Linked DNA regions of Lonchura striata. The protein of the gene in region 1 interacts with the protein of each later gene in a pairwise test. Links are inferred from orthologs where the notes say so. Each region holds a gene or a part of one and is shown in the gene's direction. Other genes may lie near its edges. The genes, in order: PLEKHF2, RABAC1, SETBP1 and MEAF6.

What was found.
Region 2: the proteins of PLEKHF2 (region 1) and RABAC1 interact in binary tests that used the Homo sapiens proteins (3 or more experiments, as listed by UniProt). The two-hybrid records come from large-scale screens. The link is inferred for Lonchura striata from reciprocal best matches to the Homo sapiens genes PLEKHF2 and RABAC1.
Region 3: the proteins of PLEKHF2 (region 1) and SETBP1 interact in binary tests that used the Homo sapiens proteins (3 or more experiments, as listed by UniProt). The two-hybrid records come from large-scale screens. The link is inferred for Lonchura striata from reciprocal best matches to the Homo sapiens genes PLEKHF2 and SETBP1.
Region 4: the proteins of PLEKHF2 (region 1) and MEAF6 interact in binary tests that used the Homo sapiens proteins (3 or more experiments, as listed by UniProt). The two-hybrid records come from large-scale screens. The link is inferred for Lonchura striata from reciprocal best matches to the Homo sapiens genes PLEKHF2 and MEAF6.

Annotation. Positions count from the first base shown.
Region 1 is NC_134603.1:23,857,301-23,865,547, reverse strand, and holds the start of PLEKHF2 (pleckstrin homology domain-containing family F member 2), read left to right. Parts: upstream 1-5,129; 5' UTR 5,130-5,242; intron 5,243-5,456; exon of another isoform or gene 5,457-5,636; intron 5,637-8,247. UniProt on the Homo sapiens protein: May play a role in early endosome fusion upstream of RAB5, hence regulating receptor trafficking and fluid-phase transport. Enhances cellular sensitivity to TNF-induced apoptosis.
Region 2 is NC_134639.1:279,178-287,053, reverse strand, and holds the start of RABAC1 (prenylated Rab acceptor protein 1), read left to right. Parts: upstream 1-4,689; coding exon 4,690-4,760; intron 4,761-6,110; coding exon 6,111-6,308; intron 6,309-7,673; coding exon 7,674-7,765; intron 7,766-7,876. UniProt on the Homo sapiens protein: General Rab protein regulator required for vesicle formation from the Golgi complex. May control vesicle docking and fusion by mediating the action of Rab GTPases to the SNARE complexes.
Region 3 is NC_134642.1:45,897,233-45,904,850, forward strand, and holds the start of SETBP1 (SET-binding protein), read left to right. Parts: upstream 1-4,533; 5' UTR 4,534-4,751; intron 4,752-7,618.
Region 4 is NC_134628.1:4,680,940-4,688,320, reverse strand, and holds the start of MEAF6 (chromatin modification-related protein MEAF6), read left to right. Parts: upstream 1-4,350; 5' UTR 4,351-4,372; coding exon 4,373-4,468; intron 4,469-4,581; coding exon 4,582-4,697; intron 4,698-4,774; coding exon 4,775-4,862; intron 4,863-5,429; coding exon 5,430-5,475; intron 5,476-6,003; coding exon 6,004-6,196; intron 6,197-7,323; coding exon of another isoform or gene 7,324-7,348; exon of another isoform or gene 7,349-7,381. Other genes in the region: SNIP1 (smad nuclear-interacting protein 1), read left to right, coding at 176-440.

The DNA of each region.
Region 1 (8,247 bases):
GTGGGAAAGCTGGGTTGGGTGCAGATCTTTATGGAAGATATTGTGGGAATGAGAAATCCGGAAGTTGAAGAAAATTTGCAGGTGAGCTCCTGGAAGACACAAAGGTGGGGCTCAGCAGGAAGTCCTGTATGGTACCGCTGCAGGAATAGGGTGTGCAGCAGGAGGCACTGATTTGCTTCTGATTTCTGCAAAGAGTTTGAGCATGCAAGCAAGAATGGACCCAACACCAAGGCAATGCAACCATTGCAATGGTGGTGGCTCCTCCATGAGTGTCATCCTCCATCCTGAAATGGCTCTGCCACAATGGGATCTCATTACCACAACCTTTCCGCTGGCAAAGCCATCCGTTAGTGCCAGAAGTGTTCCAACAACTGAGGTAAAAGAAAAATACGATTTTCATTCACTGGTTTAGTAAATTTTCTTCAGTTCCACATAACCATTTCCACCAATCCCTCAAAAAGGACAAGCTTTTAATGAAAAGATGCTGATTTGCAAAAGCCTCATTTTAAGACATTAAATACAGATAATACAATACAGAGCTTAGGCTGATTTCAAGCTTAGTGAATTGTTTTAAATTCTCATTTAAAAATAATCTGAAATTCACTAGCACTGAATTACTACTTCTCAGGTTCAACGAAGGTGTCACAGCAAGTTAAGTAGGTTGTGGTCTTCTTTTCACAAAGATCAAGCACCTTCCTGATGACGTGTCTTGGGACATGTCTTGATGACAAGACATTAACCACCTATGAACCTGGTTTTGTTTGCTGGTGTGTATGGGAGCAAGAACATTGATCTCATTCAGGAACTGAAGGTCACATCTGGTAGGCCTACAAAGAAAACAGGAACACTGATATCAGGAAAACAGCACTGTTTGTAAGGGAAAATACATGAAAAACATGGTTACAAGACCACTGGAACTGGTTAGTTTGGAGTTTTTTTGAGGGGGATGGTGGTGCTTTGCAAAATATTCTTGTTTGCATTATTAATATTTCCCAATACATCCCAAGATTTCCAGACCCCCAAGACCCCACTGGAAAAGGAAACACCGACAGTCCCATTTCAGTGGAAGGACCTGACAAAACATGAAAAAGAATTTCTTCTTGACCACAGAAAATTAGTTACAACTCAGACAGAACATGTGGCATGTTTCAATCTTACTTACTCAAATAATGAATGAAACTTTCATTCACATTCTCCTACCCATTCACTCAGGCAGTTGACACCATTTCTCATAAAAAAGATTACTCCCCTGTTACCCTGGCTACATTCATTAGCAGCTGCACAAGCTACCAGAGTCTTTCCAGTCCCTGGTGTACCATAGAATAGGAAGTCTCTGCAATTAAAAAAAAAAAAATCACACAAGAAAAAATCTTAATGGAAAAGTGTCTATTATAACCCCCATCCCTAAAGAACACAGCTCTCCTTAGCAAAACACTTCATGGATAACAAACACAGCAGTAACAGCTAAAGTGTGAGAAAAGTCAAAAAGGGCTCCTACACAATTCAACAAGGCAGCAAATGAAATTAATAAAGAGGATAATGTACAAAACATTGAGAAGAGATAGTAACATCCCAGAAGGACACATCCAAAAGCTGTGACATACCAAGAGGGGTGGGTACAACACAGTGGAGCCAAACAAACTTCCAGTGCAGAAGCTGAGACCAGGATAACTTAGAAATCACCTGTTCTGCATATTCATTCTCGTTTTCACAAAAGGCAAGATTTGAGAATAAAGCATTTAATTGTCCCTTAAATAGCTTTAAATTTCTGGGTTTGGTCTCCCTTTGCAGGTACTAAAGAAGTAACCTAAAGCTGGGAAGGTATTCTGCATTACCATCTACTAGAAAAACCAAGATGCTGCTGCTTCAAAATATATTTCATTTCATAAAGAAGCAAAAGACAAAGATTTTCTTTTCATTGTTTGTAATACTTTCTGAAGTTACTGAAAGCAAAGCATTTAAAGTCCCATTTGAATATAACATGACTGAATTTTGCTGACCAAAAATATATAATGTTAATGAAATCTCTAGGAATTTCATTTTGTAACACAGAACTCGGCTGTTACTCCTCTGTAAGAAGTGGACAGATTCTTATTTTAGCTCAAGCACAACAAAGACTGCAAGGTTCTAATTGCAAGTTCTGTCAATTTTTAAACTGATTCTTGAGCATTTGAAAAAAAAAAACAAAACAGTTTGTGGGAGAGACAAGTGGGCTTCCATGAAGCAAATTACAGTTGACTACCAGTAGGTAATTCATTGTACATGAAACTCTAAAGGAAAAAAAATCTCCAACTGCAGCTTTTAAAGGCAAGCCACTTTTAAAGAATAATCTCACTTGACAGTAAATCTCTGAACCTACATATATGCTGGTTTTCATCATTTCTTAAAATACTGCTTTTTAATTTTCTTAAAACTATGTTTTACTACTGCTAAAAAAACCCCCATTCAACAGTGCTGAAAATTTTGGAGCATTTTTGTATATTAAACAAAGCTACAACCTCAATAATGTTCCATCAGAATTTCAATGTCAGCACAAAGGAAAGGTTCACAGCAATTTTCAAATTGCTTGAGAGAAACCTGTAAGCCAAGGGAGTTGTAGATAGTCCATTATTGGAAGCTTTCATAAATAGTGTAAATGTCTCACTGATATGTTGAAGTAAAAATCTTACTGAAACAACTATTTGCATTAGCTCAACATCAGACAGATTTACTTCAATTTTCATGTGATCCCTGTGAAGATTTGAAGTGAAAATGCAAGCTGTGTGCAAACAGTGTCCATTCAAAAATCATAAGGCAATTGAGGAAGCACAGTATAAGACAAGTGCTGCAGCGTATCACTGCTATTTCATATTTTCTGAAGAAGGTATTTCCTCCACACTTAAAGCACAGCTCTGGCATAACTGACAGTAAGATTATAATTAGAGAGCAGAAATAAATGTCATTTTAGACAAGCTATGCTTTGGAATAAGTTTTTTTTCAGCTAAATTAAAATTACAAATAATCACTCTATGTGAAATAGTAAAATACATTAGTGTCTATTTCTTCCAGTAGAACACCCCATGATCTCCCATCCTTTTCCTTCCATGCATCTTCTCTATGCAGTTAGTTTTTTGCAAGATTGCTTCTGCAGTACTAAGATACAAATTTGACATGTAAGAGCAAAGATAGATAAATACAAAAAACTCTATTGAAACTGACACACATGATCTGTAATGACATTTTGATATAGTGAACACACAGCAAGAATTACTGGCATTTAGCCAAGTTTTTCAAAACTACTTAAAAATTAGGTCAAGTGTTTACTTTTTTTATACATACTTAGGAAGAAGTGTTTGCGGATTTGCAAACGGACCGTTTTCATATTTATTTTCCCCTCTTGCTAAACAGAGTAAAAAAAGAATTCTGAAGATATAGGAAGTTAACAGAAAAAAATTATGGCAGGCTTTCACAGCACTAAAATTGCTTTGCATGATAACATTTTGTTTCCAGCTTTCCTCAGACAACAGGTTACTTATTCTCTTAACCGGAGTTAAGGTCTTGTGCTGATTTTCCATTACTATACATGGTAGAAAGAGCATCTCACTGCTGTTACACTTTGTAAACCTTTCAGAAAACAATGTCAGTTTGCACTTCAGGAAGAGAATTAAAACACAGATACGCAGACAGAAACACTAGGACTGCTTCACTTTGCCTGTATCCAACTTTCTGCTGCATCTTAATTCAACTGGGTGTTATAAAATTATTTGTAAGCATGAAAGAAAAGTTAATTACCCACAAAGCTGCTTCTGATGCCAAGAAAATTGATTTAGATGATAAGTTAAATCTACAGAAGTTTACAACACAAAGAGAAAGGTTCACAGCAATTTTCTTTTTGGTTCACAAGAACCAGGCCAGCCCATACATAAAAGATCCTCTGGTGTGAAGATCTCTCTGCAACTGACAACAGTTGAAAATGAAGACACTTGTGGCCAATTTATATATTGGCTGTGCCCGAATTCTTTACATATGAAGCACTGGCCTAATACACCCTGCTGCATGCAATCTGAGATTTGTGGCTTAAGCCACAAGCACCTGTTTCCAAAAAACTCATGTTAAACGGCTTGGCCCACACCTTATATAAATCAGTGCATTAAGAGTAATTACATGACAGCTCAGGCTGACGCACTGGATGGATTTGAGGGAAAACTGGAAGACTAGATTGTCATGCTGTAGGGTGCTCAGAGCTCCATGTCCTGCTCCTTGCTCCCTTTCTGTGTGCCTCTTCTGCAGCAGGAGAAATGCAGCTCAGTGATGTGGCTCTTGCCTGTGTCCCTGTCTGAGCTGGGGAAGAAAATTCAGCTGAAAGTTCAGCAGTTTCATGATTTCTACTGGAAAGCCCCACTACCTATTTTTAATCTGCAGAAAAGCCAGACATGGTATTGCTCAATAATGTGAAATTTGAAAAATGAAACTGCCATATAGCATGTAAGTGAAATTTTCTTGGGGAGAAAAAAAAAAAAAAAAAAAAAAGGCAGCCCATTGGGCCATTTTCCAGTGCAGACTTTAGTATCAGAGCAACACCATCGAAGTTAATGGTGCTGTACCCTTTTATCTCCTCTTGCTCCACTCTCTTCAGAACCTTCCCAGCCACCCTTCCCCTCTGACAGCATCCATCATCGGCTGGAAATCCTGGAGGACCAGGTGAGCTGCCGAGCAGCCGGCTAGATTTGAAAAATACTGCTCTGGATGACTCAATGTGTACACACAAAAAACTCTGACACAGAAGGTGGAAGGGGCTCCTTGTGTTGACAGCGTTTCTGGTGGAAACTCTTCTAGGCTGACGAACAACTCCTCAGACTGAAACATGTCACTAATTCCCTTCCATGTGCTGCGTAGAGAGAAGTGCTTAAAAACGTGCCCATCCTGAATTACCTCTGGGCGAGCTTACTTAGAGCCACGGGCGCGCACACAGACCCGCGATCGCCCACAAAGAACGTCTCTCAAACATCCGCAGGAGGTCGGTGGGGAGCCGGCAGCCTCCCGCTCCCACGAGGCGCCGCCCGCGGGCCGGGCCGGGCCGGGCCGCTCCGCCCTCCCGCCCAGGGCGCTCCGCGGGCCGGGCCGGGCCGCTCTTCCTTCCCGCCCAAGATGGCGGCGGCCCCGCCCCGCCGGGCGGTGTCCCGGAGCCCGTCCCACGGCGTGGGGTGTATGACCGCGCCGTGCGGCGGGGAGGGCAGGCGGCGGCCGGAGCGGGGTGTGCCGGGTGAGCAGCGCTGTCCGGCCGCGTTCTGGGCGCTCGGGGATGGCTTGGGTCGGGGCCGGCCGGGCAGCGAGAGGGAAACTTTCCTCGCGGAGCCCTCCTCCGCCGGGACTCCGGCCGCTCTCTCGCGGCCATGTTGGGAGCCGGGGGCTGCCCGGGAGGAAGGAGCGCCCCGGCGGGAGGCGGCGCTGGGCTCCGCTGTCCCGCCCGGGGCTGGGGCAGCGCCGCGTCCCGCCGGCAGGGAGGCAGGCGGCGGGGCGGGCAGGACCCGGGGAGGGAAGCGTCGGCCGCGGGCGCTAGCTTGTCCCAGGGCACTGAGAGAGTTGGGGGCTCTCGGCAACGAGTTCGTCTTCGGGAAAGGGGAGAAACAACAACGGCGGCGGCCCCGCGGCGTTACGTAAGTGCCCGAAACTCCTGGACTCGTGACTCCGCCGGGGCGCCGTGAGGCGGCGGGACGGGCGGGCGGGCGGAGGGCGCTTCCTGCCCCGGCGGGCTGGGGCCGCGCTGCCCCGAGCCTTGGCGGCCCGGGGGGCTCCGTGTCGCTCTCGGAGCGGGGCGCCTGAAAAGTGTTGGCACTGTTGTGAAAAAACAGCGGAACCGCGAGCCGTGCGGCTGCGAGCATAAGGTGCTATTTGTTTTCCTCTATGAAATTCACCTATTTTGAGGGGAGTGTAACAGGTCTGCCAGAGATACGTATGGCCCGTAAACTGTTTTCTGAAAGTAGCTCGAGAAAAGACAGCCGCATGTTTTTCCTCTCGCCTCATTCGAAATACTTTGTTCATAGGCACTCATGTTTATAAATGGCAAAACTGCTCATCGCGGCGAGAAAGCGATGGGTGATTCTGCTGAGCAGCACGTCCTGGCATCGGCTTTGTCCCTACTGAGGGAAATAGCTGTAACTCGAGTTTTGACATAAAGCATCAGTGCAATGGTTGTTGATAGCCAAGAGGACCTTTTATATCCTTAACCAGAGATCAGGAATCGTCTTTTGGCTGAATTGATGCAAATGGTTCCAGAAGCATCATTAAGTTCTAATTCAGGCTGTCCTCAGGCTGTGCTAAGAGTTTCTGAAAGGGTTGATGCTTATTTGAGAAACACTATATCTGAAGCTTCAATGTGCCTAACAGCTTAAGGTCAGATGAGGTTAATACAGTAGGCAAAGTGACTCTAAAAGCAGACCCACAACACAGGAATCTTTCAGAACCGAGACTGCAAATTCCTCTTTCTCTCATGAAATAAGGAGAACTTAAATATCCAGATCTTAAGTTCTGATACTTGTCTATTGAATTATTTTAGGGATGCCTGTCTGAAAGAAGGGAAGTATTTAAAAGACAGCAGTGTAATCGGTGCTGAGATCCTGCAGATTAATTGCTTTGTGTGCCGTCATCAGCATGCAGAATGGAATTGGTTCTTTAGCTCAGAAGGCAGTGCTCTTGCTTTTAGCCTCTAATCTAAAAACTGTTGACTAATCCCAATGGGTAATAGGAATCCCAGTGTTGTAAAATGTCTTTTATATTAGCTCAGTTTCTTAAATAATACTTTTCCAAGTGTTTTAGTGCCACCAATTTTGTTGAAAACAACAGTGAAAGTGAAGTGTTGTATGCCTGAGTCCCAAATTCTTCCTTCTGAATGCAAATCAGCTGTGTGCCGTTTGATGTGTCTGAGTTTTGCTCTACATACAAGCCCACATAGAGGAAGTTCCTTAAACACTAAATAAAAACTGTTATGTAGAAATTTTTAGCTGGAGAAGCTGGTTCAGTTTCCACCGTTGTATTCTGTAGAAAGAGAATACCATCTTTTCACCTGAAAAGCAAGCTTTCATTAGATGCAGTGATGAAATATTTTTTCAGTAAGAGCTTTGTTCTGTTACCCTTAAGTCAAGGGATGAGCTTTAACCATAGTAAATAGACATGTCCCCAGAGTGACAGATCTATCCATAGTATCTTAAAGCGCTTTGGTTTACAAAAATTATCATTGGTAAAATATTTGCTCTACTCAAAAGGTATGGTGACTTTTAAGTTTCACTATTGTGCTTAGTGGATGCAGGATAGTTTCAGAGCAGTAAAGAGATGGAACTGCAATTTCACGTGAGGCATGATATGACAGAGCATTGCCAAAAGCCCCATGAGAGCCGTTATGGCAGAATACGAACACTGGTGTCATACACTTACAGCATTTTTAGTGGCTTGTCTTCGCCAAAGAGGGCTAGAGGTGTTTAAGTGAAAGCTTAGGGTCAAGGCATGGCACATAGATAAGGCAGAGTTGAATTTTTTAGTACTTGCAGACCTCATTTTCTGAAAATGTATGTTAGATAAAATGTTGGAAGTTGTGTCCTAGCAGACTAATGGCATGCCAGTTTTTGCGCTTATTAATGGGCGATGTCAAATAAGGAAATCTCAGTACTAACAAATAATATGATTCTTAGAAGATGGTAGGTAAAAATAAAAAATTTTTGATTTTTGTACTAGGAAATGAAACCTTGTTTTGTACAGCTTCAAATCGTAAAGGCGCTTTTGTGACTTATTTCAAGCTGTGTTAATATTCAAGCTTACTTTTTTCCATTTAATTTTTTTTTAAGTTACAGATCATGCTTATATATGTATATTTTACTACTTTCCTGACTTAATTCAGTATTTAGATGAAAGTATGATATTCCAAAAGAGAGTACTTACAGGCAAATGTGGATTTCTGAAATAGAAAAATGTATTAAAAACTTTCTCCCTAATGCAGCAAGTGCCAAGTTTGGTGTTGTAGGATAATTTTTCATGATTCATTGGAGGACTTGTTTTTATAGTTGAGGGGGATGAAAAAGTACTCTATAGATAGGTGTGGTAGAATATGTTTACTAAAGATTGCTTTATTGTTGTTGTGAACTGTAAGATATGATTACATTAGCAAGTAGAGTCCTGCAAATTCAGGACTGCAAGAATGAGTCAAGTGGAAATGAGTCTGTACACATGAGAAGTGGCTTGATTGAGACTTGTACGACAGAGATTCTCCTTTTATGA
Region 2 (7,876 bases), on another chromosome or scaffold:
GCACCGGGGGGAAATGGGGCTGGGGTCCCCGGGAGGGTTGGGGGCACCGGGGGGAAATGGGGCTGGGGTCCCCGGGGGCACCGGGGGGAAATGGGGCTGGGGTCCCCGGGGGCACCGGGGGGAAATGGGGCTGGGGTCCCCGGGAGGGTTGGGGGGCACCGGGGGGAAATGGGGCTGGGGGTCCCCGGGGGCACCGGGGGGAAATGGGGCTGGGGGTCCCCGGGGGCACCGGGGGGAAATGGGGCTGGGGTCCCCGGGAGGGTTGGGGGGCACCGGGGGGAAATGGGGCTGGGGTCCCCGGGAGGGTTGGGGACACCGGGGGGAAATGGGGCTGGGGTCCCCGGGAGGGTTGGGGGGTTGGGGGCACCGGGGGGAAATGGGGCTGGGGTCCGCGGAAGGGTTGGGGGCACCGGGGGGAAATGGGGCTGGGGTCCCCGGGAGGGTTGGGGGCACCGGGGGGAAATGGGGCTGGGGGTCCCCGGAAGGGTTGGGGGGCACCGGGGGGAAATGGGGCTGGGGTCCCCGGGGCACCGGGGGAAATGGGGCTGGGGTCCGCGGAAGGGTTGGGGGCACCGGGGGGAAATGGGGCTGGGGTCCCCGGGGGCACCGGGGGGAAATGGGGCTGGGGTCCCCGGGGGCACCGGGGAGAAATGGGGCTGGGGTCCCCGGGAGGGTTGGGGGCACCGGGGGGAAATGGGGCTGGGGTCCCCGGGAGGGTTGGGGGCACCGGGGGGAAATGGGGCTGGGGTCCCCGGAAGGGTTGGGGGCACCGGGGGGAAATGGGGCTGGGGTCCCCGGGGGCACCGGGGGGGCAGCGAGACCCCCGGGATCGGAACCCCCGGGGATGAGGACGGGGAAACCCACCCCCGAGAGACCCCTCCCCAAAACACCCCCGGGGACCCCCAAAATTCCCTCCGGGACCCCCAGAATCGCCCCAAGGACTCCCGCCATCCTCAGGGACCCCCAAAATCCCCCCGGGGACCCCCAAAATTCCCTCTGGGACCCCCAAAATCCCCCCGGGAACCCCCAAACCAATCCTGGGACCCCCAAATAGGGGTCGGATACCCCCAAAGCCAAACCGGGACCCCCAAATTTGGGTCAGGGACCCCCAAATCGGGTCAGGGAGCCCCAAAACCAACACCGGGACCCCCAAACCCAACTCGAGGACCCCCAAAAGCAACCCCGGACCCCCAAATTCGGGTCAGGGATCCCCAAAATCCCCCCAGGGACCCCCAAGTCGGGTCAGGGACCCCCAAACCCAACTCGAGGATCCCCAAATCCGCCCGGGGATCCCCAAAATCCCCCCAGGGACCCCCAAATTCGGGTCAGGGACCCCCAAAATCCCCCCAGGGACCCCCAAGTCGGGTCAGGGACCCCCAAACCCAACTCGAGGACCCCCAAACCATCTCCCCCCCCCACATCCATTCCCTCCCCCCCCGCCAACTCCCCCCTCCCCAATTCCTCCCCCCCCCCGAAGATGGATGGCGGCGGCGGCGCGGCGTTAATTAACACTTGAGTTAATTAGTTCGGGCCCATTTACGAGTAAAATGTTTTGATTTGGGGAATTTGCATTCGGCGGCGCCGGGTGATGGATGGGGGGGGGCTGGGAATTTGGGGAGGGGGCTGGGAATTTGGGGAGGGGGCTGGGAAATTTTGATTCTTTTCTTCACCCTCCAATTCCGTTTTTTTTTTTGTTTTTGCCCCAAATCAACCCCGCTTTTCCCCACAGCGCCGATTTCCCCCCCTTTATCCCCAAAATCGCCCTTTTTTACCCAGAAATGGCCTTTCTGCACCCCAAAACGCCGTTTCTCGCCCAAAAAATCCCCTTTTCCCCCCAAAAAAAATTCCCTTTTCCCCCCAAAAAATTCCCTTTCCCCACAAAATTCCCCTTTTCCCTCCAAAAATCCCCTTTTTCTCCAAGAATCTTCTTTTCCCCCCAAAATTCCCCCTTTCCCCCCAAAATCCCCTTTACCTCCAAAAAATCCTTTTACCCCAAAATTCCCCCTTTCACTGCCCAAATTCCCCTTTCTCCCCCAAAACCCAATTGTTTCCCCCAAAAAATCCGCTCTTCTGCCCCAAAATCCCCTTTTTCTCCCCAAAATCCCGTTTCGCCCCCAAAATTCCCCTTTTCCCCCCCCAAAACGGAGCCCGAACTTCCGCCATATCCATATAAGGGCATAGCCCCTCCCACAACCCGCCCCATTGCCATATAAGGCGTGGCCACGCCCATTAATTTGCATACTGGCAGTTAAACCGCGCCCACCTCGTTAAAATTCGCAAACGCGCGTCTAGACCACGCCCACAACCATATATGGACATAACCACGCCCCCAAATTTGCATACGGTGGTAGCCCCACCCACTGTGACGTCATTGCGTGGCCCCGCCCCCGCCACGCGTTCCCGCGGTTCCGGGCTCAGGTGAGGGGGGGCGGTTCCCATGGAAACGGGGGCGGGGGGACCCCGAAATCCGCGGATTTCACCCCAAAATCAGCAAAATAACCCCGAAATCCTCCCCGGGACCCCGAAATCCGCGGATTTCACCCCAAAATCAGCGGAATAACCCCGAAATCCTCCCCGGGACCCCGAAATCCTCCCCGGGACCCCGAAATCCGCGGATTTCACCCCAAAATCAGCGGAATAACCCCGAAATCCCCCCCGGGACCCCGAAATCCTCGGATTTCTCCCCAAAATCAGCGGAATAACCCCGAAATCTTCCCCAGGACCCCGAAATCCGCAGATTTCACCCCAAAATCAGCGGAATAACCCCGAAATCCTTCCCGGGACCCGAAATCCGCGGATTTCACCCCAAAATCAGCGGAATAACCCCGATATCAGCGGAATAACCCCAAAATCAGCGGAATAACCCCGAAATCCTCCCCGGGACCCAGAAATCCGCGGATTTCACCCCAAAATCAGCGGAATAACCCCGATATCCTCCCCGGGACCCCGAAATCCGCGGATTTCACCCCAAAATCAGCAGAATAACCCCGAAATCCTTCCCGGGACCCCGAAATCCGCGGATTTCACCCCAAAATCAGCGGAATAACCCCAAAATCAGCAGAATAACCCCGAAATCCTCCCCGGGACCCAGAAATCCGCGGATTTCACCCCAAAATCAGCAGAATAACCCCGAAATCCTCCCCGGGACCCCAAAACCACCGGATTTAACCCCAAAATCAGCGGAATAACCCCGAAATCCTCCCCGGGACCCGAAATCCTCGCCGGGACCCCGAAATCCGCGGATTTCACCCCAAAATCAGCAAAATAACCCCGAAATCCTCCCCGGGACCCCGAAATCCGCGGATTTCACCCCAAAATCAGCGGAATAACACCTAAATCAGCGGAATAACCCCAAAATCAGCGGAATAACCCCGAAATCCCCCCGGGACCCAGAAATCCGCGGATTTCACCCCAAAATCAGCGGAATAACCCCGATATCCTCCCCGGGACCCCGAAATCCGCGGATTTCACCCCAAAATCAGCGGAATAACCCCGAAATCCCCCCGGGACCCCAAAATCCGCGGATTTCACCCCAAAATGAGCGGAATAACCCCAAAATCCACGGATTTAACCCCTAAATCCTCTCCGGGACCCCAAAACCACCGGATTTAACCCCAAAATCAGCGGAATAACCCCGAAATCCTTCCTGGGACGCCAAAATTCGCGAATTTAACCCCAAAATCCTCCCCGGACCCAAAATCCGCGGATTTAATCCAAAATTTCTCCCCGGACCCCAAATCCTCGAATTTAACCCCAAAATCCCCCCGGGACCCCAAAATCCTCTGCGGGACCGAAATCTGCAGATTTAACCCCAAAAATTCTCTCCGGGACCCCAAATCCCCCGCGGGACCCAAAATCTGCGAAACGACCCCAAAAACCTTTAAGAATTCCCCGAAATCCCCCAAATTTCCCAAAATCCCCCAAATTTCCCAAAACCGCGCGGTTTCTCCCCAAAATTCCCAAAACCCCGCGGTTTCTCCCCAAAATTTCCCAAATTGCCCAAAACCGCGCAGTTTCTGCCCAAAATCCCCCCAAATCGCGCGGTTTCTCCCCAAATTGCCCAAAACCCCGCGGTTTCTCCCCAAATTTCCCAAAACCACGCGGTTTCTCCTTAAATTTCCCAAAACCGCGCGGTTTCTCCCCAAATTGCCCAAAACCGCGCGGTTTCTCCCCAAATTGCCCAAAACCCCGCGGTTTCTCCTCAAATTTCCCAAAATCGCGCGGTTCTCCCCAAATTGCCCAAAATCCCCCCAAAACCGCGCGGTTTCTCCCCAAATTTCCCAAAACCCCGCGGTTCTCCCCAAATTGCCCAAAACCGCGCGGTTTCTCCCCAAATTTCCCAAATTGCCCAAACCCGCGCGGTTTCTCCCCAAATTGCCCAAACCCGCGCGGTTTCTCCCCAAATTTCCCAAATTGCCCAAAATCCCGCGGTTTCTCCCCAAATTTCCCAAATTGCCCAAACCCGCGCGGTTTCTCCCCAAATTTCCGAAATTGCCCAAAATCGCGCGGTTTCTCCCCAAATTGCCCAAAATCGCGCGGTTTCTCCCCAAATTGCCCAAAACCGCGCGGTTTCTCCCCAAATTGCCCAAACCCGCGCGGTTTCTCCCCAAAATTCCCAAAACCGCGCGGTTTCTCCCCAAATTTCCCAAATTGCCCAAAACCGCGCGGTTTCTCCCCAAAGCCGCCGCCATGGCCGAGGCCGCGCCCCCCCCCCAGGAGCCGCCGGGGGCCGAGAGCGACCCCAGGGGGGGGCTGGGCAGGTGAGGGGCGCGATTTTGGGGCGATTTGGGGGGATTTGGGGATTTGGGGGATTTGGGGATTTTGGGGATTTTGGGGGGATTTGGGGGGATTTGGGGATTTGGGGGGATTTGGGGGGATTTGGGGATTTTGGGGGGTTTTGGGGGGATTTGGGGGAATTTGGGGGAATTTGGGGATTTTGGGGGGATTTGGGGATTTTGGGGGGTTTTGGGGAGATTTGGGGATTTTGGGGGGTTTTGGGGGGATTTGGGGATTTTGGGGGGGATTTGTGGGAATTTGGGGGAGATTTGGGGGATTTTGGGGAATTCGGGGGAGATTTGGGGAATTTTGGGGAATTTGGAAGAGTTTGGGGGGATTTGGGGACTTTTGGGGGGATTTGTGGGAATTTGGGGGAAATTTGGGGAATTTTGGGGAATTTGGGGGAGATTTGGGGGATTTGGGGAATTTTGGGGAGATTTTGGCAGATTTGGAGGAGTTTTGGGGGATTTAGGGAATTTTGGGGAGATTTGGGTGGATTTGGGGAATTTTGGGGAGTTTTGGGGGATTTGGGGAATTTTGGGGAGATTTGTGGAATTTTCGGGGGATTTGGGGGATTTTGGGGTGAATTCTGGCGATTTTGGGTCCCCCCCAGGCTGTCCCCCCCCGGCTGGGCCTGGCGCTGGCTCGGGGCCCTGGGGTGGATTTTGGGGTGGATTTTGGGGTGGATTTTGGGGCGGTTTTGGGGGGTTTTGGGGTGTTTTGGGGCCGGGGTTTTTTGGGTTCGTTTGGGGTGGATTTTGGGGTGAATTTTGGCGATTTTGGGTCGCCCCCCAGGCTGTCCCCCCCCCGGCTGGGCCTGGCGCTGGCTCGGGGCCCTGGGGTGGATTTTGGGGTGGATTTTGGGGCAGTTTTGGGTGTTTTTGGGCTGTTTTGGGGCCGGGGTTTTTCGGGTTAGTTTGGGCTGGATTTTGGGGTGAATTCCGGCGATTTTGGGTCCCCCCCAGGCTGTCCCCCCCCGGCTGGGCCTGGCGCTGGCTCGGGGCCCTGGGGTGGATTTTGGGGTGGATTTTGGGGTGGATTTTGGGGCAGTTTCGGGTGTTTTTGGGGTGTTTTGGGGCCGGGGTTTTTCGGGTTAGTTTTGGCCGGATTTTGGGGTGAATTCCGGCGATTTTGGGTCCCCCAGGCTGTCCCCCCCGGCTGGGCCTGGCGCTGGCTGGGGGCCCTGGGGCAGCTTTGGGGTGGATTTTGGGGTGGATTTTGGGGTGGATTTTGGGGCGGTTTTGGGGTGTTTTTGGGCTGTTTTGGGGCCGGGGTTTTTCGGGTTAGTTTGGGCTGGATTTTGGGGTGAATTTTGGCGATTTTGGGTCCCCCAGGCTGTCCCCCCCCGGCTGGGCCTGGCGCTGGCTGGGGGCGCGCCGGGCGGGGCTGCGGCCCTGGGGCTCCTTCCTGGACCAGCGGCGCTTCGGGGTCCCCCAAAATCTGGGGGAGCTCTGGCGGCGCCTGGGCCACAACGCCGAGAGGTTCCAGAGCAACTACCTGCTGCTGTTCCTGGCGCTGCTGGCCTACTGCCTGTGAGGAATTCGGGAATTCGGGAATTTTTGGGAATTTTTGGGAATTTTTCGGGGGTTCTACGGCGATTTTGGGGGGTTTAATGGCATTTTTGGGGGATTTTTTGTGATTTTTTGGGGTTTTTTTGGGGCATCATTCCCCAGCAATTCCGGCCTCTGAGGAATTCGGGAATTCTGGGAATTTGGGAATTTTTGGGAATTTTTGGGAATTTTTCGGGAATTTTTCGGGGGTTCTACAGCGATTTTGGAGGGTTTAATGGCATTTTTGGGGGATTTTTTGGCATTTTTGGAGCATTGTTCCCCAGCAATTCCCTGCTGCTGTTCCTGGCGCTGCTGGCCTGCTGCCTGTGAGGAATTCGGGAATTCCGGGAATTTTTGGGAATTTTTGGGAATTTTTGGGGAATTTTTCGGGGGTTCTACAGCGATTTTGGGGGGTTTCAGGGCGTTTTTGGGGGATTTTTTGTGATTTTTTGGGGGTTTTTTGGGGCATCGTTCCCCAGCAATTCCGGCCTCTGAGGAATTCGGGAATTATGGGAATTTTTGGGAATTTTTTTGGAATTTTTGGGGAGTTTTTCGGGGGTTCTACAGCGATTTTGGGCGGTTTAATGGCGTTTTTGGGGGATTTTTTGTGATTTTTTGGGGGTTTTTTGGGGCATCGTTCCCCAGCAATTCCGGCCTCTGAGGAATTCGGGAATTCTGGGAATTTTTGGGAATTTTTGGGAATTTTTGGGGAATTTTTCGGGGGTTCTACAGCGATTTTGGGGGGTTTCAGGGCGTTTTTGGGGGATTTTTTGGCATTTTTGGGGCATTGTTCCCCAGCAATTCCCTGCTGCTGTTCCTGGCGCTGCTGGCCTGCTGCCTGTGAGGAATTTGGGAATTTTCGGGAATTCGGGAATTTTTGGGGAATTTTGCGGAATTTTGGGAATTTTTTGGGAATTTTTGGGAATTTTTGGGGGGTTTTGTGGCGTTGTTCCGGTTTGTCCCAGTTTGTCCCAGTTTGTCCCAGTCCCTCCCAGTAACTCCCAGTGCTCCCAGTTTGAGCTCCCAGTGCTCCCAGTCCCTCCCAGTTGGAGCTCCCAGTGCTCCCAGTAACTCCCAGTGCTCCCAGTTTGAGCTCCCAGTCCCTCCCAGTGCTCCCAGTTTGAGCTCCCAGTCCCTCCCAGTGCTCCCAGTTTGAGCTCCCAGTAACTCCCAGTGCTCCCAGTTGGAGCTCCCAGTGCTCCCAGTAACTCCCAGTTCTCCCAGTTGGAGCTCCCAGTGCTCCCAGTAACTCCCAGTGCTCCCAGTTGGAGCTCCCAGTGCTCCCAGTCCCTCCCAGTGCTCCCAGTTTGAGCTCCCAGTGCTCCCAGTAACTCCCAGTTCTCCCAGTTTGAGCTCCCCGCTGCTCCTCGTCGCTCTCGGGGTTTTTTTCGGCGTCGCCGTTCGGCTCCGGGCCCGGGAGACGCCGCTGGTGCTGCTGGGTGAGACTGGGAGGGACTGGTTTATACTGGGAGGGACTGGGAGGGGACTGGGAGTTACTGGGAGGGACTGGGAGGGAACTGGGAGGGAACTGGGATGGACTGGGATGGACT
Region 3 (7,618 bases), on another chromosome or scaffold:
GATAGATAGATAGATAGATAGATAGATAGATAGAGATAGATAGTCTTCTACATAAATCTCAGAAATGTGCTAGATATCTGATGAGCCAGAGCACACAAGGAAAGTATCTGTTTTAAGCAATTTTAATAGTAAATATATACTTTTGATAATCTGATTGTATTTTTCTATCCTATAAAGGTACCCCTGCTTCACTGGGGACCTCTCAAGATAATTTTTTTGTATCTTTTACATTGACTTACAAATCACCCAATAATTCTGCATAGGTTTAATTTATACCTTGAACTTAAGGAGAGTCATATAGATATCTAACTTAATATGCTATTTATATAAAAATAAGAAACTCATGTCCTTCACTACAAAACATCTGTCTCATGAAGTCAAGGTTATATGTAGACTGTTAGGCACAAATAGGAAACTCATCTCAGGTCTGCTGCAGAACTAAACCAACTTTATGAATGCCATCATACTTTTTTTAAAGTTAAAAGAACAAAGAGGAGAAACTTCCTCTTTGAGATTATCCACTTAGATTGAAATCCTTGACACACAGCAGAGACAGAGGGAGGAGGTTGTTTAAAAGAGGGAAAATTTTCTAGAACTAGAAGACAAAATCACAGGTCAGAATACCTTTGATGTCAGTGCTGATCCACAGTGATTTATGCACACGTGTCCTACACAATGACCACTCAAAAGGATGGGTCTTTTTCTGTTTATGAAATTTATCCTGACAGAATTTGATGCCCACAAGTAAAAGTAACCAGGTGTGATTTTGTTTTTAAATTTATACATAACAGGCCTAAAAATAACTTTGGGTGAATCACAAACTCCCTTTGCTAGGTCTGAGTATTTTTTATTTCTTTATATTCTGCCATGTTTTCAAAGTGAGCATTAAATAAGCCATTATCTCTATTGCTTCCTAAGTTGAACTCACTTTGAAATTATTTTTTGTGGGGCTGTTTAAATACATTTGTTTATGTATATGTATCCTCTCCAGAAGTAAATAAATTAAAAATAAAAAGAGAAAAGGCTCACAGAATACTTTTTATCCTAAATTTACTGTATATAATAAAAATATTATTTTCTAGAAAAGGGGAAGCAAATGTGATAATTTTTTTCCCTTTCTCTCTCTCTCTTTTTTTTTTTTTTTTTTTTTTGAGTATTTGATTCCATAATTAGGTTTTCTGTGTTAATCTAATCATGCCAATTATTTCATAACTGTTTGTCAGCTTATTCCAAGGAGAAAGATGATGGTCAGCGGAGCTCTTTGATACAGAGTTCACCTGCCAAAAGTTTTCATTTCAAAACCAGAATTCTTCACAGGAAATGTCACCACCAGCTCTGCCAAGAAATGTTGAATCTGTTTCTTTTTCCTTTTGTTTAGATACAAAATGACAAAATGTAGCTCCAGTTGGGTGATTTAATTTGAACAAACAAGCCTCTCTTCCATGTCAAAGAGCGGATTGGAAATGACAATCCCTGTTTGGTTTCAATCAGAAATGCCAACGATTTCAGTGTGACATTCCCGATCCAAGAGTTGTGAGTCGCATGTTTGTTTGGGATGGAGATGGGGTTGATCTGTTGGTCGTCATTTTGGAGGTTTCTTGTGTATTTTACCAATTCATCTGTTTTCTCCTATTGGAGAGAAGCATGAGGAAAAGACCATGAGGGAAGGACAGGCACAGGCTGCTGTACCTCAGCTCAGATGTTTGGGATTTGTACGTATCTTGGAGGATGTCAGCCACATGGAGAGATCCAAAGGGAAGTGATGCTTTGGTGTGGTTTTTACTTAAGATTTTTTCCCAGGAATGCAGCAGGGCTGAGGGCACATACTCACCCAGGTGACTGAGTCTGCTGATGGTCCAGGAGGGCTGTGCTGGCATCTTGGGGCCCACAAATTTCTTCCACCTATTTGGGGTTAGACTGCAACCTGTGTTGTAGGTCTGTTGCTTCTCCTAAAGGGACAGGGTGAGAGAGATGCAGCTTTCAAGTCTGAAGAAGAGAAGGCCTTTATAAGGGAACCCCTTCTAGGGCCTAAAGGTGCTCCAAGAGAGCTAGAAAAGAACTTTTACAAGGGACTGGAGTGGGGAATGGCTTCAGACTGAAAGAGGGCAGGTTTAGATTGAATACTAGGAAGAAATTCTTGGCTGCGAGGCCCTGGCTGTTGGCCACAGAGAAGCTGTGGCTACCCCATCCCTGGAAGTGCCCAAATCCAAGTGGGATGGGAGTTTGGAGAAGCCTGGGGTGGTGGAAGGTATCCCGGACCATGGCACAGGGTGGGACAAGATCTTTAACATCCCTTCCAAGGCAAAAAATTCTAAGATTCTATGATGTATGAATAAGCTTCCATGGCAGGTAAGGGTCAACCCTTGCATCAGCTGCACACTGAATTCAGGTCACTCAGGATGATGGCCTGAAGCCACCCTCTGTCCCAGAGCAAAGAGGGGAGACTTGATGTTCTTTGAGCCTCCTGCAGCACACTGGGACAGGGAACCCTGTGGCACCATCTTTGCAAGGGATCAAACATGCAGCGGAACACAGTAGGATACTCCCTATATTCCCCCTCCTGCCCTTGGAATGTTATCTTCATTTATAAGTACAGTTCCACAGCTCCATTTCACAAGTCTTTCCTCCTCTGGGGGTTCCTCCTCATCATCTCAGGCAAGCCAACAATTTACTCATGTGAGTAAAGGTATGCCCAGCTGGCAGACCAAAATGCAGTATCATCCAGATTGCTGGCAGAGCAAGGGTGGGAAAGAAAAAGCCCAACAATGTGGATTTCGCACCGCTCCCCACTGGCCTGCAGCTGAGTTTGTGTTGTATTTTGTACATTGCTACTGGTCCATTCTGAAAGGTGATGGAGGTGGGGGAGTGGATTTAGACCTTAAATTAGGGGTCAAGAGTCCTTGCTTATCTCGTCCAGCCCCAGAGAGGGAATTCTCAGCGTGGCCTGAACAGCAGTAACTGTCCCCCAAAAATGCCTCACACGGGTCACGAGCCCGCCGCCAAAAGCATATGGGGGGCTGGCGGGGGGCGGCTGGGAGGGCGTGGGAGAGACTGAGCTTGAAGTGGGATAAATGGGATAAATGGCCCTGCCCTGAATCTCACCTCCTCTGCCTTTTCTCCCCTGCCCCCATCAGTGCTGCAGTTGTGTCAGGTAGTGGCACTGTTGAGTACATTAACCCGGAGCTGAGCATTGCAGCCACGCCGAGTGCGTGTCTGCGTGTGTGAGTGTGTGTGAGAGCGGGTGTGTATGTGTGTGTGTGTGTGTGTGTGCGTGTGTGTGTGTGTGTGCGTGCCTGATCATTACCATTTATTCCCCACACTTCTCCTCCTCCCCCCGCCCCCAGTGCTGCAATACTCCGGGAGCGATGGAAACAGAGGAAAGAGAGAGACATCAGCCCCCCAGATCTGCTTAACCAAATCGCCGCCCCTTGCAGGGAAAGGAGGGGGGAGGGGGGGGAACCAGACCAAAAAGACAAAATAAAAGACAGAGAAAGGAAAAATCCAGCGGGGGAGCAAAAAGCCGCCCCTCGGCGCACCCTTTCTCAGCGGGGAAGGGGATGCGGGTGTGTGTGTGTGTGTGTTGTGCGAGTGTGCGAGCACCGACTCCGGCCCCATCAGGGGAAGGGGGTGTTTTCCCTCCGCCTTCCCTTCGCCCTCCCCCGGCCCGGCGCGGGGCGGCGCGGGGGGAGCGGAGCGGAGCGGGGCGGGCGGCCGCAGCCCCGCAGCCCGCCGGAGCTCCGGCACCCGCTCCGGAGCCCAGGGAGAGCAGGGATAAAGGGAAGCTTCCTCGCCGCCGCCAAGCAGCCCTTTTCTCCTGGCGGGGCTTTGCTCCTTTTCTTTCTTTTATTCTTTTTTTTTCATCGGTTGTTTTTTTTTTTTAATTTCCCTTCTTCTTCTTCCTTTTTTTTTTTTTTTTTTTTTAATATTTTTGAAACTCCTCGCCGGGAAAAGCAAAACCGAAAAGGCTTCCCCGCAACCTCGCCCCCCTGCAAAAAGGCTCCCAACCAACCAAGAACAAGAAGCAGAGAGCAAAAGAGACCCCCCTCAAAAAAAAAAAAATTAAAAGAAGGAAAAGAAAAAAAGAGAGAGCTGGAGACCAGCTCCATCGATTTCAAATCCAGGATTTCATCCAGTATTGAGGGGCTTCTTTTTTTTTTTTTTTTTTGGTCTCTTTTTTTTCCTTCTTACCCCCTCCTCCTTTCTTTCACCCCCCGCCCCTCTGTCCCCCCCTTCTCCTCCTACTCACCCCCCTTTTTTCCTTTTCATTTTATTTTGGATCCTGCTAAAATTAGCCGGGACTGCTCTGGGTGTTGCGTGTCAATTTGATTTACTCCGGGATTCCGGCTTTCCAAGACGCCATTTTCCCCCCTTTCTCGCTCTATCTCCTTCTATTTATCCCTCTCTATCTATCTTTTATCTCTCGAGCTGTCTCTCCGTCTGTCTGTCCGTCCATCTCCCTCTCCCCGGTGCCTTCCTCCTCCCCCCTCCCTCCTCCCTCTGCGCTCTGCGTGCGCTGCGCGGCCGGGCGCTCCCCTCATCCCCATCTGACAGATGAACACCGCCATGGGTTTGCCGCAACACAAGCAAAAGCACCTTTGGGGGCTGTGGCGAGGGATTGAAACCGGGATCTAAAAGAGAAGAGACAAGAAGGGGGGAAATCCGAGGAGGAGGAGGAGGAGGAGGAGGAGGAGGAAGAAGGAAGAAGAAGAGGAAGCTGCTAAGAAGCCCCCGCTGCCGTTTTGGGGATATGGGTTAGTAAATGCGGGGAAAAAAAAAAAAAAAAAAAAAAAAAAAAAAAAAAAAAAAAAAAAAAGGGAACCAAAATTCTGAGGCATCGAGGAAAGGTTTGCCTTAATGATCGGGATTGCAGGAGGATCGTACGCCTCTCTCCTTTTCCTTCACCCTCCTTTTTTTTTTATTTTTTTTTTTTTTATTTTTCGCCCTTCTGCATGCAAAAGTTAATGTCGTCCCTTTTTTTTTTACTTTATTTTTTTCTCTTTTTTCCCCTCCTCTCTGTTATGACTTTGCAATGGCGCGGAAAAGGGCTTTATTTTTTTTTTTTTTTTGGGGGGGGAGGGGGGAATATTTCTCCTCTGTGCATTGCATGCGAATCCTCTTCCCCGTCCCCTCCAACCCCTTCCCTCCCCATGCTTTGTGCCTGTTTAGGATCATGTGTGCGTATCTGTGTGTGGCTCTCGTGGGGTGGGGGGTACCGGTGGTGTGTGTAAGACTAGGAAGGGGTTGGAATTTTTTTCAGGAGTTTGAATAATGTATTTATTTCCCCCGCACCCCCGCCATATACCCCCTCTGCCGGCCCCCCGCTTTGGTAGCCTACATGTGTTTATATGCGTAGGTGGCTGCTATGTGTGTGCCTGTGGAAACTGGGGGGGGGAGACACGACCCCCCCGCTTCGTAAATTGCAGGTTAAGTGGAGCTAGAGAGCAACACTGTAACCTTATGGGGATTTGCGTGTGTGTGTGTGTGTGTGTGTGTGTGTGTGTGTGTGTGTGTGTGTGAGTGTGAGTGTGAGCGTGTGTGTGCACGGGGCTCCGCGGCCGCGTTCCGCGGGTGAACCGGGGGGCGCCGCTGCCCCGGGGTGGCCCCGCCGTGCTTTTGACATTGAAAAGGACACGCAGCCCCGAAAAGCTGCGATTTTGGGGAACAACGAAATGGGAGGACGGGGTGGGGGGGTAGTAATTAGCAAAGAGGGACACCCCCTCTGCCGCCACCCCCACCACGCTCGGTGGCTGGATAATGGTTCTTAATCAGCCGGTGATTGCCGCCCTCGGGACCCTGATGGCCCCTTGTGCCCCACAACGGGCGGACGCGGAGTTCAGCTATGGGCAGGCTGAACACCGCCGGTATCGTCGGGCTGCGGGGTGATGTGGGGAAGAGGGGGTAACACGAAGCCCGCAACCTCGGGCTGCTATTGTCAACCCCAGCCCTGGCGCAAGGCTCCTGCCCGGCGCCGGGCACTCGCACTCGCACTCACACTCACACCCCTTCCTCGCCGGGTTTCCCCGGAGGGCAAGGGGAACTGGGGTCTCCCGCACCCCTTATTGAATCCCCAGGTGGGAACGTGTGTCAGTGTGAGTGAGTGTGTGTGTCAGCCGTGAGCGTGTCCGTGTGTTTGCATCCCAGCATCCCACCGCCCCACCGGGCACGGCGCTCCCCGCGCTGCCCCTTCCTGCTGTATTTATGTCTCCAAAAAGCAGTTGAGAGAAGGATTTCCGATTCGTTTCCGCTTCAAATAAACGGCCCCGATAATCCCGGGCCTGACGCCTGATGCTGAAAAGGCACTTGGCCGCCCGGAGCCCAACCCGGGGAGGCGGGGGGAGACAGGGCACACCCCGACTCGGACACCCCCAGTGGGCAGGTTCCCCTGGCTTCGGGAGGGGTGATGAGGTGGCTGGTGCATGGGGGATGCACACGGGGGATGCGAGGGGAGATACGAGGGGAGTACCCACTCATTCCGGTACCGTGGGGTGGCGGTGTCCCCGCGGCTGCCGTGAGCCGGGTTAACCCAACCGGGCTCTGGGGGGAGTGGGAGGACGAAGGGAGGAGGGGAGGGGAGCCTGGCAGGCTGTTCCACCGGTGTACAGAGGTGTTTCATTAGCCACAGGCCCGCAGTGGCCCCACTCTGGGGTGGGGGTGTCCTTCTATGTCCATCTGCCACACAGCAAAGAGATGCAGAAGAGTGGGGAGAGGAGAGGGCAGAACTGGTCAGTGATCTGCTGTGCGTGAGAACATCTGAGCCTCCTGGTGTGGATGGAAGGAGGAAAAGGCTACTGGCAAATCTAGTCCTGTGTGGAATATTATGGGTCCAAATGGGAACGATTACTGGTTTGAAAGCCCCTGCATGCAGGATTGACTTGGTGCAGGCTACAGAAATGGCATTATCAGGTGCGTAGAGACAAGTAGCGACAGCATGAACCTGAGGAAACAAGTGGACCCTATTTTATGGACAGCAAAAAAATATTCTTATCAGGGAATAATAGAATCATAGAATGTTTTGGTTGGAAGGGATGTTAAAGCTCATCTCATCCCAGTCACATTTTCCCTCAAGGCAGGGACACCTTCCCCTAGATCTGGCTGCTCTAAGCCCCATCCAGCCTGTCTTTGAACATTTCCAGGGACTGGACACATTCATGGGAAAATGTTAAAGTGTCAGTTTTATGCACAGCTTTCTGCACTTACTCAGTCTTTGCTGAGATTATGCCCCTCATCAGAAGCTGCTTGCACTCAAAGGAGAAACTTTTTTTCATCTTAATTTGTTTTTTAGCTGAAAGGAGAAAAAAAAAAAAAACATCCACACAATGGACTTGTACTTTAATCTGTGCTCTTAGCCTCTTAGCTCAGAAGGGTTATGTAAAAATAGGAAAAAAAACAAAAGCAGAAACACTCAGTGAATGGAGACTTCTCTTCCATCTCTTATTGGCTTCAACTTTTTTTTTTTTAAACTTCTCAGACTCAAAGTTTTAATTGAAACCAGAAGTCTATTGAGAAGTAACTGAGCCAAGAAAACCTCTGTTTTCTCTGCAACTAGGGATGGGGAATAAATAATTTTTAGCTGATGTTATTTCAAGTCGTTTGAGCTTTTTGATTCCTGCCAAAAAGC
Region 4 (7,381 bases), on another chromosome or scaffold:
AGGGATGATGCAGCCTCTCTCAGAATCCGCTGTCTCGCAGTTTCTTGTTGCTCTCCTTGGTTCAGATGAGTGTTCACTGCACAAACCACTGCTCGTGGAGCACAGTTTGTGCCTCACGTGCTTTCAGCGCCCTTGCCGTGTCTCTGGTGGCTCAGGCAGTGCTTTTGTCCTGCAGGCTGGTGGAGTACACCCGAGCTGATGGCACCGTGGGCCGCAGGGTGAGGCCCTACATCATCGACCTGGGCTCGGGGAACGGCACCTTCCTCAACAACCAGCGCATCGAGCCCCAGCGCTACTACGAACTGAAGGAGAAGGATGTGCTCAAGTTCGGCTTCAGCAGCAGGGAGTACGTCCTGCTCCACGAGTCCTCAGATAAATCTGAGGCCAACGCCAAGGACGATGATGAGGATGAGGAGAAGGAGGAAGAGTCTGACAGTTAACGGATGAGGAAGAAGCAGGGGAGAGGCAGAGGAGAGAAACTCCTCGTGGTTGAACGGGACTGGGATGTGAACACGGAGCATTGCAGCACTGATGCCTCTTGTTGCCTTAAAGTCTTTTCTGTGTTGCTGGTCTGTTCCCATAGTTTGTTTTGGGGGGGCTTTGCTCGTTATTCGTGTTTGATAGTTTTGCATATCAGGAAATACAGCTTTATTTTTATTTTATTTTTCTCCCAAGAAGCCGAAGAGCACCTGGATGTGAAAACTCTGGTGCTGGAAACCCTCCACAGATGTTGTCAGACTCTTCCAGCAAACCATGTCAAACACGGACAGCATCTGGAAAATTTTTATGACTTGTTTTGTTATATCCCTTTGAAAATGCTACAGACTGAAAGGTTATAGAGTACCTGATGCTCGTTCTTTTCCGTAGCTTGCCAAATTCCTCTGCCTGTTGGGAGTTCTGACAGGAGAATTTACCTGAATCACTGCTAAAATGGCAGAAATGTGCAAAGACCCTCATGAATTTGTATGTTTTGGGTATCTAATTTGCCTCATGGTTACTGAGGGATGGGCATTTCACTGGAATTCCACCTAGGAATCACAAGGGAATGTGAAACAGAAGTTAAATAATTCCTGGAATTTCAGGTGATGAGACTGTGACCCAAGTTCCCTGTTCCCACACATGATGCTGAAACTGTCCTGGATGTGGAGTGTCTGGGTTGTAAGCTAGAGCCCTAATTTCTACCCCCACCCCAGGGTTTGTGTCAGACAGAAACGCCTGTGACAGGGTGACGTGTTTTAACCAGTTTGCACTATTTAAGTTCTCTTTTTATAAAAACTTCCCCAAGTCCTTTGTTGAGCACAGTGAAGAAGTCAGTGTTCAGGGAGGAAGCACCAGTCCCACTCAGTGGGAGCTGCAGTTTTTGGTGTCTCCTCCAACGTTGCTTTATGTTCAGTGTGTATATCCCACCCTTCACTGATTTCACCTGGGTGTTTGTGGTCTCACCTGTTCGTCCCTGCTGTGTACAGACTGTACACAAAGGTGCTTGTTGTACACATTGACAGTGTAAATATGGGGCATTGCTGTGGGGTTTCAGATGGGTAGGATGGGGTTTGAGCAGGAGGAGCTCCTTTATATCTGCTCCAAGGGTTTTTAAATAAACAATTTGTAAATTTAGCCATGATTGCTTTCTGTTGTAATATTTTTCATTGGGTGTTTGGGGGAAAAAATGGGGGAAATGGCAATTTTTGGGAAAAAATTGTGGGAAATGGGATTTTTGGGAAGGAGTGACAGCGCCTATCAAAAGATTTGTTAAGCTCCGAATGGGAGGTGCCAGAATTGCTGTACTGCAAAAGGGCAAACTGGCCCCCAAACTGCAGAGGATCGGAGCGACACAGTTTAATAGGATCACAGAAAGGTTTGGGTTGGAGGTGTCAGGAAAACTAACCCACACCTGAGGGTTATGCCCAAAAAAGAGACAGAGGAGTCCTGGAACTTTATTCCAATAAAGGGAGAGGCCATGGGGCATTTCCCATCGAGTCTCTCAAGTTGTTAGAGGATGAAGCCTCCTTTTTATCCCAATTTCTCAGCCACATTTCCCTCTCTCTTTCCCCACTGGCTGAGGTATTTGAGAGGTACAAACTTCCCAATACAGACCCCCTTCTAATGTATACCCCCACCTTTTCCTTGTCAGTCAGTGGAATTCCTATAGAATCAATGCTTCTTCCCACTACTTCTTTCATCTCTCAATATCCAATTTTATTTATCAGCAGACCCACAGTAGATCTGTAAACACAAATCCCTCTCATTCCATTCATCAATCAGTGAAATCCCACTGCTGCTTTTACCTCAGCGCTAGTTTTACCTCCCCACAGTTGGTTTGTAAAGACAAATCCCTCATTGCTTTCAGAGGGACCCTGAAGACTGCAGAACCGGGGAATATGTGAATATCTGAATAGGGGAATATCTGAATATCTGAACTGGGGACTGTCTGAATGTCTGAACCGGGGAATATCTGAACTGGGACTACCTGAATCACTGGGTGGGCAGAACCACCGACCGTTCCCATTCCCATCGCTGCTGTCGCCACCACGTCTCTGTGGCTGTCTCTGTCACTGTTGCCGCTGCTGTCGCTACCGCTATCTCTGTCCCTGTCCCTGTCTCTATCCCTGTCCCTGTCTCTATCCCTGTCCCTGTGCCTATCCCTGTCCTGTCCCTGTCCCCATCCCTGTCCCTGTCTCTGTGTCCCCGTCCCTGTTCCTGTCCCTGTGTCCCCATCCCCATCCCTGTCTCTATCTCTGTCTCTGTCCTCTCCCTGTCCCTGTCCCCTGCCTCTATCCCTGTCCCCGTCCCTGTCCCTCTCCCTGTCCCTGTTGCTGCTGCTGTCGCTATTCCTGTCCCCGTCCCTGCCTCTGCCCCTGTCCCCTGTCCCCATCCCAGCCCCTGTCCCTGTGTCCCCGTCCCTGTCCCCCGTCCCTGTCTCTGTCTCTATCCCTGTCGCCGTCCCTGTCCCCATCCCTGTCTCTCCCCATCCCCCGTCCCTGTCCCTCTCCCCGTCCCTGTCTCTATCCCTGTCCCGTCCTCGTCCCTGTCCCTGTCTCTGTCTCTATCCCTGTCCCCGTCCCTGTCCCTCTCCCCGTCCCTGTCCCTCTCCCAGTCCCTGCCTGTATCCCTGTCCCAGTCCCCGTCCCCGTTCCTCTCCCTGTCCCTGTCCCTGTCTCTGTCTCTATCCCCATCGCTATCCCTGTCCCCGTCCTTGTCCCCGTCCCTGTCCCCATCCCAGCCCCTGTCCCTCTCCCTCTCCCTGTCCCCGTCCCCCGTCCCTGTCCCTCTCCCTCTCCCCGTCCCTATCTGGGTCCCTGTCCCCGTCCCTGTCCCCGTCCCCGTCCCCGTCCCTGTCCCTGTCTCTGTGTCTATCCCTGTCCCCGTTCCTGTCCCTGTCCCTGTCCCTGTCCCTGTCCCTGTCCCTGTCCCTGTCCCTGTCCCTGTCCCTGTCCCTGTGTCTATCCCTCTCCCTGTCCCTGTCCCTGTCCCCGTCCCTGTCCCTGTCCCTGTCCCTGTCTCTGTCTCTATCCCCATCGCTGTCCCCGTCCCTGTCCCTGTCCCTGTCCCTGTCCCTGTCCCCATCGCTGTCCCTGTCCCTGTCCCTGTCCCCGTCCCCGTCCCTGTCCCTGTGTCTATCCCTGTCCCTGTCCCTGTGTCTATCCCTCTCCCTGTCCCTGTCCCCGTCCCTGTCTCTGTCCCCGTCCCTGTCCCTGTCCCTGTCCCTGTCCCTGTCCCTGTCCCCATCGCTGTCCCTGTCCCTGTCCCTGTCCCTGTCCCCGTCCCCGTCCCTGTCCCTGTCCCTGTCCCTGTCCCCGTCCCTGTCCCCGTCCCTGTCCCCGTCCCTGTCTCTGTCCCTGTCCCTGTCCCTGTCCCCGTCCCCGTCCCTGTCCCTGTCCCTGTCCCTGTCCCTGTCCCTGTCCCTGTCCCTGTCTCTATCCCCGTCCCTGTCCCTGTCCCCGTCCCTGTCCCTGTCCCTGTCCCCGTCCCTGTCCCCGTCCCTGTCCCCGTCCCTGTCCCTGTCCCTGTCTCTGTCTCTATCCCCATCGCTGTCCCCGTCCCTGTCTCTGTCCCTGTCCCTGTCCCTGTCCCTGTCCCTGTCCCTGTCCCTGTCTCTATCCCCGTCCCTGTCCCTGTCCCCGTCCCTGTCCCTGTCCCTGTCCCTGTCCCTGTCCCTGTCCCTGTCCCTGTCCCCATCGCTGTCCCCATCGCTGTCCCTGTCCCTGTCCCTGTCCCTGTCCCTGTCGCCGCTGCTGTCGCTGCCGCCGCCTCCCCCGCGCTCCCGGCTCCGCAGCGCCCCTGGCGGCCGCCCGGCGCCGCCGCTCCCGGCTCCGCAGCGCCCCTGGCGGCCGCCCGGCGCCGCCGCGCCCCGCCCCGCGCAGGCCGCGCCGCCATGGCCGCGCTGCACGCCAAGGCCGGCGGGCCGCCGCAGATCCCGGACACCCGCCGGGAGCTGGCCGAGCTGGTGAAGCGCAAGCAGGAGCTGGCGGTGAGCGCCGGGGCCGGGCTGGGCGCGGGGCGGGCGGCGGCGGCGCGGCCGGGGCGGCGGCGGGGCCGGGCGGCGCGGCCGGGCCTGCTCCATGCGCGGCGGCGTTCCCGCAGGAGACGCTGGCCAACCTGGAGCGGCAGATCTACGCCTTCGAGGGCAGCTACCTGGAGGACACGCAGATGTACGGCAACATCATCCGCGGCTGGGATCGCTACCTCACCAACCAGAAGTGAGTGGCGGAGGCGCTGCCCGCCGGCCCGGGTCCCCCGCCCGCCGGCCCCGCCATCCCGCCTGTCTCTGTTTCAGGAACTCCAACAGCAAAAACGACCGCAGGAACCGCAAGTTCAAGGAGGCCGAGAGGCTCTTCAGCAAGTCCTCGGTCACCTCGGCAGCGGTGAGTGCCGGGATGAGCCCTGACCGCTGTGCTCACCCCTCTCCTTATCCCTGGCCCCATCCCTTTCCTTGCCCCCATTCCTCTTCCTGTTTTTTCCCCATCCCTCAGTCCTGCTGTGATCACCTGCAGAATTACTTCCCCATTTGCAATCCCATCCCTGCCCTGGCTCCCTGCCCTAAGCATCCCCATCCCAGTCTCCATTCCCATCCCTTTCCTTGCCCCCATTCCTGTTCCTGCTTTATCCCCATCCCACCCCTGTCCCTTGGTGCCTCAGTCCCGCTGTGATCACCTCCAGAATGACTTCCCCATTTGCAATCCCATCCCTGCCCTGGCTCCCTAAGCATCCCCATGCCACCCTGCAGCCCCTTCCAGAGCCCTTTCCCAGTGTTTGGGGTGGGAGGGTGCCTGTGCCTGCTGTCACCGCTGTCCCCTGGCTTTGTCACCAGACCCCCGGTGCCACACGGGGCCATGGGCATCAGAGGGACGTGTCTGTGTGAGCTGGGCTCCATGCTTTGAGCACTGGGAAGTGAATCCCTGCTTGGCTTGACATCCCATTTGGTTTCCCAGGCTGTCAGTGCGTTAGCTGGAGTCCAGGACCAGCTCATTGAGAAGCGTAAGTCCCTTCATCACTTTTCTCTGAATTTGGGAAGAATTACACTGTCCCCCACCATTCAGCCCTGTCTCAGCCTTCCAGATCTGGGCTGGGGTCTGGCTCCCCTTCCCAATCCCTGTGTCTGCTGCCCTCGGGCTGCTCCTGTTGACTTCCCAAGTTCTTTCCAGGCTCAGAGGGCTTTGTTGTGTGTAAAAGGGACTGGAATTGCTTTGGTGCTGTGTGGAGGAAGAGGCTGGACGAGCTGAAGCACTGCATCTGTAGATGTGTCAGTCACAGGAGACCTGGGGAGGGACCACACACCCCCAGGACACTGAAAAAACGTTTTTGTGATCAGCACCAAAGGGGATGTAGTTCCTCAGTGCTGAGGAGCAGCTTCCTGTGTGTCCTGCAGGGCTGTGTCCCAGGCTCTGTGATTCACCTGGTGCTGCAGGGCTCAGGTGCCTCTGCTGCTGTGCTGGGGTTGTTTCTCCCACTCAGGGCTGTGCCAGGAGCTCACCCTGGTGCTCACCTGGCTTTGTCCTGCTCTAGGGGAGCCGGGCAGTGGCACAGAGAGTGACACTTCTCCAGACTTCCACAACCAGGAGAATGAGCCCAACCAGGAGGATGCTGAAGAGCTGGATGGCTCCGTGCAGGGTGTGAAGCCCCAGAAAGCTGCTTCCTCCACTTCCTCTGGGAGCCACCACAGCAGCCACAAAAAGAGAAAGAACAAAAACAGACACAGGTCAGTGGGACCAGCAGCCTGCTCACCACACCTGGACAGTTGGCTGGGGCTGGATTGAATTTATTGCCTGAGGGGAACCAGTAGCACGTTGGAATAACCAACAGGCAGCTGGGGTCAGTTGTTTGGGTGTTTTTCCTGGTTTTGGAAGAGGAGGGGAGAGTGCCAAGGAAGTTAAACAAGCAGCACAGGGTGCTCACTCCAGCTGTGGCACAGCTGTGCTTCTGGGCAGCTTCTCCAGCTCTTCCATCTCTCCAGGATAAAGCTTGTTCCTTCCATCAGGTCCTGACCTCCTGAGCTTGCTGCTTGGTTTCTGTAGGGCAGGAATGTTAGTGCTTTCTTTGAAGGAGGGTGGAAAGCAAATGGGAATATTTTTGGGGTTTTGGACACTCCCAGTGTCTGGATTTCCACTGCAGCCCCTTCCAGCTCTCACATCCCTATGGAGTCTCAGTGCTGGCATAGAGGAGTTGCTGTGTCACCTTCACCTGAGAGTGTTTGTTATTAAACTGACCTGAAATTTATGTGAAACAGATTCCTTGAACTCTTTTCTGGTTGGATTTACCTGTCCAGCTCTGCCCCTAAGGTGTCATGAGGGCGATGAGCTGGTCCCTGTGCCCTCAGCCCAGGCTCTGGCAGTGACAGTGCCTGTGAGTCAGGCCCTGAGGGAGGAAAGCTGAGGAGAGGAGATACATGGAGCTGTCTGGAAGGATTGCTGAAGCTGGGGCCTAGGGATCTCACAGAAGTAATGGAGCTTTTAAAACCCTCTAGTTTTAAAAGCTCTCAGAGCCAGTCTGTGCTGGCTCTGAGCTGTTGCCTCTGCCTAGGGACAGGCTCTCCTCTTTAAGGGACCTGCCATGCAATTAGAGAAAGGATTTAAAGTGGTAAAAGTTTAAAAGGGGGGCTGGGGTAGTTGGGGTGGGGACACGAGGTAGGTACAATGCTTGAAAAATGCTTAACTCCTTTTTTGCCTTCATTAAGTGTTGAGTCATTAGTGTGTCTTTAATTCTTGGGTCAGAATTTCCTTCCTACAGCAGCTTGAATTGGGCAAATATCCGAAAGGACTGGATGTCCCTTTGGTTCCCCATGGGCTGGGAATCCAAAGAAGTTCAAATCTCTTTTTTTGCCTGTAGATATTTGGAAGAAGTTCAGGAATAACACAAGAAACTACATCCGTGAACAAGTCCAGAG